Linked DNA regions of Rhinolophus ferrumequinum. The protein of the gene in region 2 interacts with the protein of the main gene of each other region in a pairwise test. Links are inferred from orthologs where the notes say so. Each region holds a gene or a part of one and is shown on either strand. Other genes may lie near its edges.

What was found. The genes of interacting proteins can lie anywhere in the genome.
Region 1: the proteins of CEP63 (region 2) and PCNX4 interact in a two-hybrid assay, tested with the Homo sapiens proteins (2 studies listed by BioGRID and IntAct). The link is inferred for Rhinolophus ferrumequinum from reciprocal best matches to the Homo sapiens genes CEP63 and PCNX4.

The regions. Positions count from the first base shown.
Region 1 is NC_046289.1:34,672,128-34,679,247, forward strand, and holds the start of PCNX4 (pecanex-like protein 4), read right to left. Parts: upstream 3,020-7,120; 5' UTR 2,553-3,019; intron 1-2,552.
Region 2 is NC_046300.1:34,591,087-34,599,074, forward strand, and holds the start of CEP63 (centrosomal protein of 63 kDa), read left to right. Parts: upstream 1-4,981; 5' UTR 4,982-5,049; coding exon 5,050-5,096; intron 5,097-5,164; exon of another isoform or gene 5,165-5,401; intron 5,402-7,988. Other genes in the region: ANAPC13 (anaphase-promoting complex subunit 13), read right to left, coding at 2,250-2,348. UniProt on the Homo sapiens protein: Required for normal spindle assembly.

The DNA.
Region 1 (7,120 bases), on a different chromosome or scaffold from region 2:
GGGAAGGGTGCTAGACATCTCAAAGGGTCTATTTATTGCAGGTATTGTCAATGCTTCAGAGGTGGAATGATGAGTTGGCTCTAGGATTCACCCTTTGGAAATGTACAACACTAGAATATGAACTGATAGCATTCCATTACTTATGGAAAACTAAGATGGTAGGAAATAGCCAAAGTTCACATCAGAGCATGATAAATGTACAGCAGGGCCAGCCAATACTTCTATTCCTACCTCAATCTACTCTTCTCATACCTCAAACATCTTACCCATTATAAATTCAAGTAGGTTAACATGCTTTTCTTTCAAAATCAAGTATTAGGTGAATAAACTATATACCACTCATATGAATTACCAGAAATAAATCCATTTATTTTACAGAAAAGAAAATGGAGAACCGGTAATATTAAGTGATTTAACCAATATACAATGTCAGTTGGTAGCAGACTGAGTTTTTCAATCACACCAAGCTATTGCTAAATGAAAGGGAATTTTATTTTGAGGATAGAGAAACAGAAGGCTAAGAGAAAGCGTTTTCAGGGAAAGGTGGGCCTGAGAGAAAACTACAGATTGTCAAAATGGGCAACTTTTGTTAGCTAAGCCAGTAAGAAGGCACTGTCACATAGGACTCCTTGGTAAGACATAAACACAAGTGGGAAAGTGTCTAAAAGAAAAGGTTCTCACTGTCAAAAAAGTGAAAAGCAACCCACAGAATGGGAGAAAATTTTTGCAATTTATATATATATGGGACTTTTATCTGGAATATATAAAAACTCTTACAACTCAATAATGAAAAAACAAGTAACTCAACTTAAAACTGGGCAAAGGATCTGAATAGACATTTTTCCAAAGATAATATACATATGCCAATAAGCCCCATGAGATGGTGCTCAATGTCATTACTCATTAGGGAAATGCAAATCAAAACCACAAGGAGATCCCACTTTAATCCACTTGACTGGCTATCAAATAGACAATAAAAAGTATTAGTGAGGTTGTGGAGAAATTAGAACCCTCAAGTGGTAATGTAAAATGGTGCAGCTGCTTTGGAAAACAGTCTGGCAGTTCCTCAAGAGGCTAAACATAGTGACCATATGACTTACCAATTCCATTCCTAGGTATTTACCCAAGAGAAATGAAAACATAAAAGTCTATACAAAAATTTGTACATGAACCGTCATGGCAGAAATATTATTAATAGCTAAAAAACAGAAACAACCCAAATGTCCAGCAAAGAATGAAATAAAATATGGCATATCCGTACAATAGAAGATCATTAGGCTATAAACAAGAGTGAAGTACTGATACATGTGACATGGGATGAACCTTGAAAACAGAATTCTAAGTGGACGAAGCCAATCACAAAGGCCACATATTGTATGATTCCATTTATACAAAATGTCCAAAAAGCGAATCTATAAAGGCAAAAAGTAGATTTGTGTTTGCTTATGGCTGGAGGGGATAATGAGAATGGGAGAGCAAGGGAGAGTGATTGTTTAAAGGTACAGGGCTTCTTTCTGGGGTGATGAAAATGTTCTAAATTTGACTGCACAGTTCCGTGACTATACTAAAACTCCCTGAATTGTACACTTTTGATGGGTGAATTGTATGAAATGTGAATCATATCTCAATAATTTTTTTTATTTTTAATTTTTCAATTACAGTTGACATTCAATATTATCTTATATTAGTACTATAAAACAAAAAAGGTCCCGACCTGGTATTTTCTGTGGCAGTTAATAACTAGTAGGCAGCTTTTTAAGTAGGAAATTTAAGAGTAGCTAATGTGTACCCCCAAAATGTAAATTACTGAAATGGCAATATCTGAACCTTGAATCTGGCTCTGGATGCTATCATAAAGATTTGGGGATTTAGTATGGTTGGCAGAGGACACGGAATGATATATAAAGGATGGTCTTTGCTCTAACTGCAGGAATGAGTTAACCAAAAACAAACAACAAACAAAAAAACACCTAATAATATACAGCAGAATAAGAGAAAAAATAATAATTGAGCAGATAATTCAGAGGTCTGATAAATAACTTCTGACGGAGCAGACTTCATGGAAGTAAACGCTCATCCTGGACAGACTTGTGGTGAGAGGGAGCAGATCAGTGGGTAAAGAGTAATTCATGTCCACGGTGCCATGAGTTGATGGATTTGGGGCAAATGTGGTTTAGTTAGAGATAAGGAGAGAAAAAGTCCTGTACTAAGGGCATACATAGTATGTGAACTTTATTGGGATAAAGGCCACCCCTAAATCAAGGCTCAAAAATAACATTTTCCATTTCACAAGTGTGTCTTAGAAACAAAATACTGTAAGTCAACAGGCTAAAATAGTCTTTCCTAAGAAAGTTAAAATCACACCGGATTGATGCCTCTGGCGACTTGAGGTCATCTTACGTCTTAAAATGTGCAATAAATGCACATAAAGGTTTTATAACAAAGAACGATAAATCTGTCGCAATTAAAACTGCAAGAGCAACGTGGCTGAGCAGCCTTGGAAATTAAAGCGACCAAGAAGTCCCCATGTGAGTGCCGGGGATCAAACGTACCTCTAGTCACCCGAGGGAAGAGGCAATACGAAGGCATCCCGGGAACTGCATTTTTGCAGGTAATCCCGGGTTGGGCGCTCCCGCAGGGAGGCTGCCTGCGATCCGGGCACGGAGGCAGAGAAGCTGTGGCGGCCTGGCAACCGGCTCAGCTCGATCGTGCCCAGGCACTTTCCGCGTTTCCATAGCTAACGTCAACTCTGGCAGCCGCCACCCGGCGCGGAACTAAGCGCGCGCTCGGGGGCGGGCCGGGCGCCGGACTCGCCACACCCCCGGCCTCCGCTGGCTTCTGGGTGCCTCCCTTCCCGCCGGCCAGGCGGGGCGGATCGGGAGAAGAGCTGCGCTTCGTCCTCTCCAGGCCTGGGCCAACACTTGCCTCGCGGAGGGCCGTGGGAGTCGCTCACGCCCTGGCTCCACCTTGGGCCCAGACGCTGCAGCAGCGACAAGGGGTCCCGACACCTAATCCTGAACTTTCACCCGGGCCGCACCCTTACGCAGGAGCGTCGTTGCCTTGGTGACGTGACGTTCCTCCGCAGGGTGGTGCTCTCGCGCAGATAGACGGCGCTGCGGTCGCCATTTTGCGAGTAGCAGGCCTTGGGTGGTCTGACTGCGGAGTGTGCATCTCCAACCACTCAGGGTCCTGCGACCCTCATTAATTAACCACACCCGCTCTGTGGCCGTCACCACCCAACATACCGAGGGTAATAAATATCTTTGAGTGATACTTCATACATCCTATTCAGCTTGGAAGATTTGGAATTGCATTTACCATGTTTCCCTGAAAATAAGACCTAGCTGGACAATCACCTCTAATACGTCTTATAAGCAAAAATTAATATAAGACCTGGTCTTATTTTTCTATTAGACCATGTCTTATATAACATATAAGACTGGGTCATACATTAATTTTTTTTCCAAAACATACATTAGTGCTGGTTGGCTGGCTAGGTCTTATTTTCCTGGAAACACGGGTAAGTGCGTGCTAAAGTCCCATTATTGCATCCCCCCCCCCCCATGAGTGGATTGTGACTGCATACTTAAATACAAAGAACCAAACTGTCCATCAATGAAACATGTTACTAAAGTGTCTGTTCATTAATAAAATAAGGTGAAGTTCCCATGTTCCAATTGGGGGGAAAAAAAAGTGGCGAACTGTTATTACTTAGCATCAATTTCAGATCCAGGAATCTTTACAGGGTGTCCACGAAGTCTCCAGTTTTGCTAGTTTAAAAGTTATCCATATGCCCTGTTCCTCCTACAACCTCCATTTTCCGTGATTTCATTTCTACCCTTATTCTGGACATCTTCTGGTTGGAAGTCTACCAGTAATCCTCAAGCACCTATCGCCTGAGAGTTTTAAATTGGTCTCAAATGATTTAGAGCGGGGGTGTCCATACTGCACCCGTGGGCCAACCGTGATCCATTTTTTCTTTAAATTTATTGGGGTGACAATTATTAGTAAAATTACATAGATTTCAGGTGTACAATTCTGTATTAATTACATCATCTCATGATCCATTTTTAATTGGCCTGCAGCAAATTCCAAAAATATATTTAGTTTACTTAAATAAACCAGGTGAGGCAATACATACTTCACCTTGAGTGAGTGGCCCGGCTGTTTGTATATTATATCGCATATGGCCCTTGGTGAAAAAAGTTGAAAAAAGTTTGGACACCCCTGATTTAGAGGCTCCTGTAAGGGATCTTTGAAGCCAATGTGTCAGTATCAAGGTACCCGCGGTTTCCCCTTGCGATTGATACCTTAGCAATTCTGCATACTTGGGACTTCTGAATGGCTTTGGATTTCCTTATCTCAAAGTTATACATGTGGTCTTTTTTTTTTTTTTCCTGGCTTTACTGGAAATGATGGCTTAGTTCTTTTAAGCTTTTAGGTTTTCAAACCATAATTGGAAAAACTTTTGTTTTAATATTAAAAGAAACCCAAGGCTTATAAAAAAGAAGATCCAACTCTAGCCAGAGGAAAAATGTAGTTTATTGAAAAAGTGGAAGAAAACCCACATGCAGTGTCAGTGATGTACATAGACTTGTCAGGGGCACAATTTAGAGATAGAACCTTTTATAGTTCGATATGAAGGGAAAATGTGCTCTTGGTCCATCCACAATATTGTCTACTCTTGGGAGAGACATATCCCCAGTCATCCTGGGTCAGAGTATCACACTAAACATCTCTGAAAAATCAGCTACTTGTAGGAAGTCAGTGTAGTGTGGTTAAGAGTAGAAGCTCTGGAGTCAGGAAGCCTGAGTTGGAACCCTGATACCACCGCTCACTACTTGTGTCATCTTTCAGCTACCTAATCTTTCTGTTGCTCACTTTCCATATCTTGTAAAAGAAAAGGGGGGGGGGGGCAGGGCCTAACAATGGAGACAGAACTTAACCCAGAGGGAGTTAAGGTAAATAGGATTAAATCAAATAACTAAACGGCTTAGTAAGGGACCTAACTGGCACAGCTTAAATGGTTAGTGAGTATGAGATATTATCCTTATGTAGAGAGCTGTGTATATATATGATGCCTGTGTGCATCACCTTGAATTACACATGACCCAACCAGAATGAACATTTTTGTTGTTGAAATACCTGCTGTAGATATTTGGTAGTTAAATTTCTCTTTTTTCCCAATATGTTTGTACTTTGCACTATCTTAGAATAAAATTAGTAAAGCTTATGGTACAATGCTTTTGGTTACTTTGTGTATAAAGTATTCATTCAACATTTATTGAAATATAGTGGATGCTATTTGCCAAGCACCACACTAATTGCTGTAGATACAAAGTCAAATAAAGTATGATCCCTATCCTCAAGGAATTTACCAAAATATCACTTGGGAGACCAACAAGGACATCAGTAGTTAGAGTGTGTGATAAACAGATATGTACTGGAGCTTAGAAACACAGAAGTGGGACCCATAAATCATTTTTGGAAAATTCAGATGACTGTAATTGAATTTTAAAAGACAAGTAGAGGTTAGCTGGATAAAGATGTAGGAGAGGAGGTGTTCCAGGTAGGGGTACATTCATACATTTAACAAATATTTAGGGCATTTATAGAGTAAGATACGTATATACCTTATTTAATCTTAACCTTATGAAGTAGGTCATTATTGTTCTCATTTCAAATATAAGGAGTCTGAGTTTTAGAAAAGTAAAATGATAAGATCTGGAATTGAGTACATCTGTACATCTCCAAAATCCATAATTTTTTGTCACCCTGCTGATTCACATAAAACGAAACTCTCCCCAAAATCTGGAGCTGCTGCTTCAGTCAGAGAAAATGTTTATCCAGGTATATTAAAGGCATACATGTTTTTGTGTAATGGTAATGCCCATTTTCAATTCATACCCAAGTTACTCCTCTCACCAGAAAGTAAAACAACAACAATAGCAACAACTGTAAAATCCTCACTCTGCTCCCTTGCCCACAGACTATTTACCAGAGGGCTCTGTAAATAACCATGCGGAGCTGCAGCACAGAATCTGATGAGTTAAAGAAGGCGTGAAATGGCCTCAGGGAATTAGGAAGCTGAATTTCCAGGGCAAGGCAGTAGATTGCTAAAATTTGGTAAAGGACTGGATTGGGGTGAAAGTGGGATATGGTGGTAAGGAGACTAAAGAAAAAAGATGAGCCCAACCTTCAAGCTGGGTAACCACTAAGTTTGAGGTACCCTAAAATAAGCAAGCACAGGAGGAAGACTAGTTTTGGGAAGAAAGATAATCTGCTTCGAGACATTATGTGTTACTTGTGGGTTATGTCCAGTTAGAAATAAAGGATTGGACCTTGGGGGAGAGGTCAAGGCATAGACATTTGCGAGTATTTTACATTAAAAAAAAAGTTGAAATCATAAGATTGGAAGAGAATACCAAGTTTTGGATATTAGTAGGCATGAAAAAAATAATCAAGAGAGAATAAAGGCATTGTAAAATAAAATAATCGACTTCTTACATGGCTTGTTGAAATTAATCTCATTGCTTTATACCACAGATACTGATATGCATATAAATGAATGGGCATGTGGTGGGTAGAAATTTTAGTATGTCCCAACATGTTCACAGGGATGTGGGTTGGGTGACATTGAATTATGAGGATATGAAAGATCTTATATGAAAGGGAGTGACCAATTGTTAATCACTAAGTTTCATACTGAAACTGCTTTAATATAGAAAAAAATTGCAGACCAGGTAAACATTCATACACAGAACCATCAAATAGTGTATAATGTAATCATAGCTTTGCCGTTAATTTGGTTTTAGATACAATTAAATACAATTTGTTGTAAAATACAATATATTTTCAATTATAATTCTGAAAAATTTACAGTAATTCCTGATGAGTGTAGGGTAAAAGGATAGAATTTCTCAGATTTTGGTTTTGATCAAGCATTTTGAATTTTCTTCCATAGCTATTAAAAAATTTTATTATTGTTTCACATCAATAACTTCACAGATTAGATTTTTAACTTTAGGAGTGTTTCAATTATTATTTTAGAAAGTTATCACCACTGGAAACATTTTGGTTTTTTTATTGAAGTATAGTTGGCATACAATATTATTAGTTT
Region 2 (7,988 bases):
GCAGTGCCATGGGCCACTTCTTGGCCTAAGCTCCGTGAACTGTGCGGTTTCCGCTCAGGCTGCTCTTAGAGCCCTGAGATGGCCATGTGAAGTCTGGGCTAGTCTGCTGGATAACGAGAGACTGTGGCCTAGTCACCTTATCACCTCAACTCACAGCCTGCTGAACTGCCAGACCTGAGGAAGTGTCCTGAACTACTGAGCCTCCAGCTAGCTTGCTGCACGAATAAGTCCAGCAGGGATTAGCCAAGCTGAGGCAGACCAGAAGACCCTCTCAGCTGAGCTACAAAGTCATGAGGTAAGTAGCTATTGTTCTAAGCCACTATGTTTTAGGGTGACGAGTTAGGCAGCACCAAAAGCTAACTGATACACCAATGCCTTAGTATCCCAAGACGTGCATGAGCCACGCTACAACCTGGAAGTCAGCATGGAAATTTACCTCTCCCTCATTTCCTGCCACACGGATGATCCCCAAATCCTGCCATAAGCGTGTCCAGAATTTGGCAATTCCCCTCCATTTTCTTGCCATTGTTCAGGCCCTCCTCCCTTGCCTGGGCCACTGCAATAGCTTCCTAATTGGTCCCTCTGCCCTGTCACTTGCCCCTTTCTCCATGGCAGACGTCCTCTGACAGTGCTGCTAAACTGATTTTCCAAAACCTAAATCTGAGTGTGGCAGACTTCTTTTTTGAAGACCACTCACTCCTGGATATCCCCCGGATGAGGTCTAAGCATGGTAACAAATATTCCTCTCAAAATCTGGTCCAAGCCCAACCGTTCTGCCGACCTTATACAACAAACGTATTCTCCAGGCACATTCAATACCTCACTCTCTATTAGCCTTTCAGAACTCTGAGCCTCTGCACATCTGCCCCCGCTGCTGGCGTGCCCTGGTCTGTCTCCACTAAACTTCTGGTCCTCCCCTATAACCAGCTTAAACTTTACATCCTCTTGGAGGCCTTTCCTGACGCCCACCAGGCAATGAGCCACTTCCTATACTACGGTGGCTGTTCATGACCCCACTTAGAAAGAACCCTTATTATTATACAATTTCTTTATATATGTTACCTCTCTAGATCCCCAGAGGCAGAAACTGTATCTTATGTTCACATAGTTTTATGGCACACAGAAGGCTTCAAAGAAATACTGGTGGAATGAAAGAAACAAAAGTTTACAGGACAGGACCTGGAGCCTCCCAGACTCAAGTGTGAAGTCTGACTTATGAGCTACCCGACCCTGAGCAAGTTCCTCTCTTGGATCCTGTTTCCTTCCTGTAAAATGGGGATAACAGCACCACCCTTGCAAGGTTGTTTTAAGGATTAAGGAGAATGTATGTCAAATTTCAACCTCAGTCCAAGGCATAAAACTGGTATTCAATAAGTGGCAGCTATAATTCTCATTACGCTCTCTCTTTTGACTATTTTTCTAAACTTTAACTAAGCTGCCTTATTATTTGATATGTGTATTATTCATTGAACTTATTATCACATCTTATTTGTAAATAAAAATGTGGGTGAGCTGAATTTTCTTTCTCTGTAAACAGCAGCCGTAGTCTACCTGTAAGCTGTATTTTATTAAGAACTCTTTTCAGGGCAGTCAGCGTGTTCTAAAGAGAAACAGTCCCTAGGCCCTGATCTTTGTCCCTTGTTAGGCTTCTATGACATCAATAGGATATTTAACAAGCATTTATACAAGCAAAACTTTTAAGTCATTTATTACGTAAGGTTTAATAAACTCCTGGCAGGACTGTATGCCACAGATCAGGAAAGAGTATTCCAGGAGTCTGTTGGTCTACATGCAAAAGAAGAAAAGCCAAATGTCTTCTGAATATTTTCCAGGGAACTTAGGATAGGTGAGTGTTCCAAAAATGTTGAGTTTTTAAAAATGCCAACAGACTGACAAGCCATAGGTAGAGAAGACATACTGTATAGCTTATATGCCCCTGCTTCCTGTTCCTCCCACCTGATGTGTTAAACTCTTCTTATCTGATTTTTTGGCTTTGGTGTAGTCAACAGAAAATGGCTCAGAAGGCCTGGGTTCCAGACTTGGCATGACTCCTATCGGAGCTGGTCACAACAGCTCTTTGAACTATATTTATCTTCAAATAAAAAGTCTAGATGCTTCTAGAATTAGTGGACTTTACAGCTTTGATTTCTTTGCCCTACTAGTTTATCTGTCCGTTGACATCCTATCTCTACTAGGCCCCACCAGATCGTATCTTTTACCCATTATCCTCAGCACAAATTATAGCCTACCAGTGGTATCGCAACATCCTCGTAAGGCAGCTTATCTTCTCGCCAAGCATCGTCAATCAAATCCAGGATCCTTCCGTCTCTCTGTACCTCACTGTCCATTCTCCTGAAGCTTTAATCTTGTCAAATCTGTAAGCCAAAAAGGTAATTTCTTAAACAAGACTGAGGAGATGATGTAATCAGCCCTAGGATTCCCCAGGCTTTTTAGCTTGGATGTGTCTTTTGGCATAATATCACCCTGGGGAAGATCCATCTTCTCATCTGGGTCAGATGACGACTTATTTATAAGATCACAGTTCCTCCCCTCCTACCCCAGCTGACGATGGACAGACATCAGACATAGCCCAGTGGACAAACCAGTCATAGTATGACAAAAAGAGAATATATTTGAGGGCCTCCTTTACGAGGCCACAACACGTCTAGAATGCAGCTTTTCTCTCCTAACTTGCACATTCACCTTGTCCTGTTCAGGATGCCTTTGATGAATCCTTGACTCATTCATAATCAAGTCTCCTTTCTGGCCCCTCTACCCTTTCCTGCACCATTTTCACAAAAGTCTCCACCCGCCTTAGCTCTAACCTTGGCATTCTTTGGCACGGGAGCTAAATGAAGCACAGGATCATAGTGAGATCCCCACTGAACTGGGTTATACAAAGTGAACAGCCACAGACCTGCAGAAATCCTCAGCTGAACTTGTGAAGGAAATGGCCTTTCTTGAGATGGTGCCCAGGCTGAGCCCTGAAAGGAGCACCTCCAGGTGAACCACAGTGGGAAGACCCCATGCTGCTGGTTTCTTCTTCCCTTTGGGATTCCTTCCTCTGATTCTTAACGCTGTGCCCCCTTTCATGCCTGGCCCAAGTGGTCAAGATGCTTACTTAGCTCTCGGCCGACTCCCCACTTTTTTTCTTGAACACCAATAGCCAGCTTGGAAAATACCTCTAGACTCTGTTTCCAAGTGTGGACTCTGCTTCTTCATCACAGATATCACTCTCCTGTGCTCCCTGCTACAAAGCAGCCATCCTAATGGTCTGGAATTCAGTGGCACCAAAGGCACTTGAGTCACGCCCACTTCTGAGACTGTGAAGACTTATACCAGAAAATAGTCTTTGGGGGTGAAACCCAACTCTTTCGTATAGGCCTGTGCTTTTCCCCAACAAAATGACTTCAAGATAGCTCTACTACTTGGGTAATAATGATAGGCTTTTCCCCCCATGATAAGAATCCAGGCAAAACTGAAACATGCCCAGCTTCTATGCCACCAGTGAACCAGATGACGTCTTAACGTTTCACTACTAATTCTTAGTATTACGAGAATTAATCCAGTACTACTAAGTGGATAACTCACAACAAGCTGAAGAATCCTGTCTTCAGGAAATGTACACACCAGGGGTCCTTTCAGTTCCAGTTATATTTTTGGAGACCCTGTCATACACAAGCCCTCCTTTTTCTCTGCCGCCACTCCTTTGTCCTGGATGCTCTGACCTCTGGGATGCCCTCCTTCCTTTCCTCTGATCAAAACCTGCTGATTTCCCCAGGCCCACACAAGTTCCACCTTTTCTGTAGTTTTCTCAAATCACTCCAGCTTCAGCAGGCATTCTGCCCTCGAATGCTTCCTTCTTGTCCTTATGACCCACTAGTTGGGTCAGCCTTGTGACAGACTGCTCAGCTATGTCTCCAATTGTTAGGTGTCCATTTTCCATCAATGACTCCTTAATCCATTTTCCCCCAATTTGGCCTCAATCTGTTTTCACCTGTTCCTCTTCCAAACATCTCTAGCCCTATCATACTTGCCACCCTTTGCACTTAAAAAAAAGCCTCTTTCCCCCGTGTACTTTTCCTTCCAAACTCAACGTGGGCGTCACATCATCAGGGTCAACTCCCCATTTCCCGAGTGGTGTCTTCACTCGTAAGGGGCTGGAAGAGTGGAAAGCATCAAGAGAGGCAAAGTCCAGGACACGGCCACTGTCACAAGCATTTGCTACACTCGACAGCATTCACCACTATCAGTTTCGTGAACAAACTTTTCTTACACGTGTGATGGCCCCAATGCCTGGAATGCTCTTTCCCCTTTATGTCCCAGATAATCCCTGTCGGTCTGAAAAACTTGGTTCCCGGGTCACCTCCTCCTATAGGAGGCTATTCAGGTCCCCTAGTTCCCTGGGAATAGCGAATGATCCCGACTGGGAGCTTGTCACACTGGCTGTTTCTTGCTTTCCAGACAGGCGGCGCGTGCGTTCCTTGGGGCAGGGGCACGTTTTATTCCTCTGTGCTTCAGAATTTTGTAAATACACAACTACATGATCAACGCAGACGGCTTCCCCCCCCCTTTGGCTAAAAATGACCCTCGCAGGCCACCACCATCCGTACAGGAGTGTGAGCCCGCCTCACAGCCCCGACTTCCGGCTCGAGGCTGGATATACCAAGTGTGGAAGCGGGGGAGGTCTAGGTCCAGGCCCGCCACCCAAGTTTCTTTCCACTCGATCCAGTGAGCGGTAAGGGCAGTGATGGGGCTGAAATGAAGACATCGGCCTCGGTCGCAGGCAGTGCGACGCTGAGGAACGAACGCGTTCTCGCCCTGCAGAACCTAGGCTAGGGGCGCGGGAAACCCTTACCAGCACCCGACCCAGCGCAGCACCCGCGGCCACCGGAGCCCACCCTCGGCACCACGTGACCCGCACTTCTTTTTGCTCCGATCCCCGGATGTGGGTGAGCCCATTTGCTTGGGCGGAGGGGAGGTGAGGCAGGACGTTTGTTGCCATTAAAAGGGAGGGAGCAGGGGGCGGAACGAACGTGTCGACGACAGATGCTGGACGTCAGGTTGACGGTGACGCGCGCGCGCCCCCGCCGGAGGTAACGGCGGGAAAGCTCGGGGGCGCGCGCGCGCGGGAGCGCCCTAACCTCATGTGCGCACGGAGGACGGGCGAGGGGCGGGCCTGTACTATTCCTGGGGCAGGCTTGGCCGCGGCGGCTGTGGTGCTGTCCGCCGCGCGGCCCAAAGGCTCGGGGCTGGCTTCCGCAGCAGCCCGCCAGCCGCCAGGCCCGCCCCCGCCGGCCCAGGCCAGCTCCGGCGCCCCGCCCTTCGGCCTCGTCGCCCACACCCTGCGGGCCCGCGAAGGCGGATATGGCCTTCCCGGGCGTGCCGTCGGGCCAGCCAGGTGGTCAGCCCTTCCCTGCGGCCGGGCCAGCGGGAGGGCGGCGGGTGGCCAGTTTTCTCTTCGGGGGAGGGACCTCCGGCTCAGCCCTCCCGCTCAGCCTGTCGTTTCTGGTTAACTTGCTACCGTAGCTTTGTTGTGACTTAAGCCATCCACGGCGGGTGATGCCCGTTCATTTATGGTGGGAAGTTTAGCAGTTTAAACAGTGAGTTGGCTTAAAAACAACGTTGACACAGGAGAAATGGAAATGTGGCAGAAATCGTGAAGGATTGAAGTTGGGGCACCTCTGCCTTACAGATTGCTCCATAGAAATCAGGGATCGGAAACAAGTGGTAGAGCCATGGTTTAAAAAGTGACAGTTCCTTACGAACACTAACCATGAAGATATTTGAAGACAGTATAGATAGGCTCATAATATGGTTTTTCTTATGTCCCCTTACAACGTCGGAGAGTGAAGATGAGTGTGCTGTCAGTGACTAGTCTTCATTTATAGTTACAGTACGTTTATTTGCACAGAGTAGTCTTTCTTGAGCCTTACATTTGATTCCTTAAACCTTAAGTCTTAAAAAAATTATTCTTTTAATAAAGCAGTATTGTGGGGTAGGTATCCTGTAGTTACACAGTTCTCCACATGCTTGCTTTTTATTTTATAGATAGGAGGAAATCATACAAGGATCAACAACACATTACTTTCAGGTGTTTCCATTTAGAGTCATCATAGTTGTAACTTAATGATAAAATGAAGTGTATTATTTTCTTACTTGGAATGCGGTATCATCTTTAAATTGACTTTTGTCCTGAGCTGCTTGTCCTTTCACGATATCATTATCAATGATCAATATAGTACGACTGAAAGTTAAATGTGTTAAGAGATTTATAAACATTCAGAGAGTTACACTGTCCTTTAAAATGTATGTAGAGTTAGCTTTTAAAAATTATTTGTAATAATTATGTATGTTAATTGTATCGATACACCATTTACCTCCCATTAAAAGGTAGAAGACCTTTGCTTGGTCCTTCCTGTTCTCATTTATGTAGTAGAGGTGGCACATGTTGACTGCATCAGCAGTCCACTATCAGAGCTTCCTATTTTTTAAAAAAATGTCAGCTTGGTTTGAAAGTTGAAGCCAACATTTACATAGGTTTCAGAAACTGAATTTTTGATTTTTATGTTTAGTTAGGGTTGTTTTTTCTCTACGAGGTAAGTTTGTTTTTTTTCACCTCTACAAAACCACAGTACTGCCATCCACCTATGAAAATTAATAAATATTCCATAATGTCAGTATTCAGCCTGGGTTCAGACTTCCCCGCTGTCCCTTAATGTCTTTTTACAATTAGCTTCTTGGATAAAAATCCTGTTCAGATTCATGTATTGCATTTGGTTAATGCACCTTTTAAATCTTTTGAGATATAGTAGTTCCCTTGCCTGCCTTTCCCCCCTCAGCATTCTACATTTAGCTGATTTTATCCCTATGGTATTCTTCCCCATGTGTATCTATTTCCTTTAAACCAGTAGTTAGATCTAGAATTGCACTATCCATTATAGCAGCCACCAGCCAGCTGTGGCTATTGAAATGAATTAAAATGAAAGAAAACAAAAAATTCAGTTCTTTAGTCGCATTGGCCGTGTTTCAAATGCCAAATAGTCACAGGTACCTCGTAGCTACCGTTCGGTGTAGATATAAAACATTTCCATAACTGCAGAAAATTCTGTTGAACAGCACTGATCTAGAAGCTTGATCAGATTCAATGTTGATTTTTTTTTTTTTGGTGGAGGTGGGCAAGAATATTTCCCAGATGGTGCAGTACACTTCCTGTTGCATTGATTATCAGAGAGGCACACAATGTATGAATTGTTCCTCTTTTTGTGATATGAAGATTGAGCAGTGTACTGATCCATCCATCATGAATTTCCCCTTGAGCATTGCACTTAATGGTGAAATCTTTTCATGGATTTAGATTGCCTATATCTATTGTTCCTTTAGGGGTTGCAATATGGTGATTTTCTAATTTCGTCATTCCTTTAGTATTTATTAGCTGGAAATCTTTCAGGAAGAGCTTCCTCCCACCAGCTACTTGACTGTCATCAGCTATTTGAAATACTGGAGGGCAAGAAAAATGCTTAATTCTTTCCCTCTATTTTCAGACTGCGGTAATGAGTTGGTGGCCTAACAACCTCCAAAGGTAACCGTGAGGTTTTTGCCTTTTTTAAAAACCAAAACGGTTTTTGCCTTTTTAAAAAAATCATCATGAACTTATAAGCTTGAAAATATTGAAACTGTTTCCACCTATTGCAGTTTTTTTTTTTTTTTTTTGATTCTCGAATTGTCCTGTCTTTGGCCAGTGGCAGCAGCCCCTTTAAGTTGACTCCTGTCCACTTTGATATGACAAGTAGTCTTTGATAATGTCTTCATTTGCTGATTAAACATGTTCCTGCCTCATTTATACATTTCTGGCCAACAACCCTGGTTCCTTTGAGTTGGAGATGGTATTTAGAGACCACAGCCTGAGAACTGTGCTCTTACTGCTAGGTTGGGCATTAGTTGTAGGATTTACAGTGATCAGAGTTAGGAAATACATTTTCTAAGAG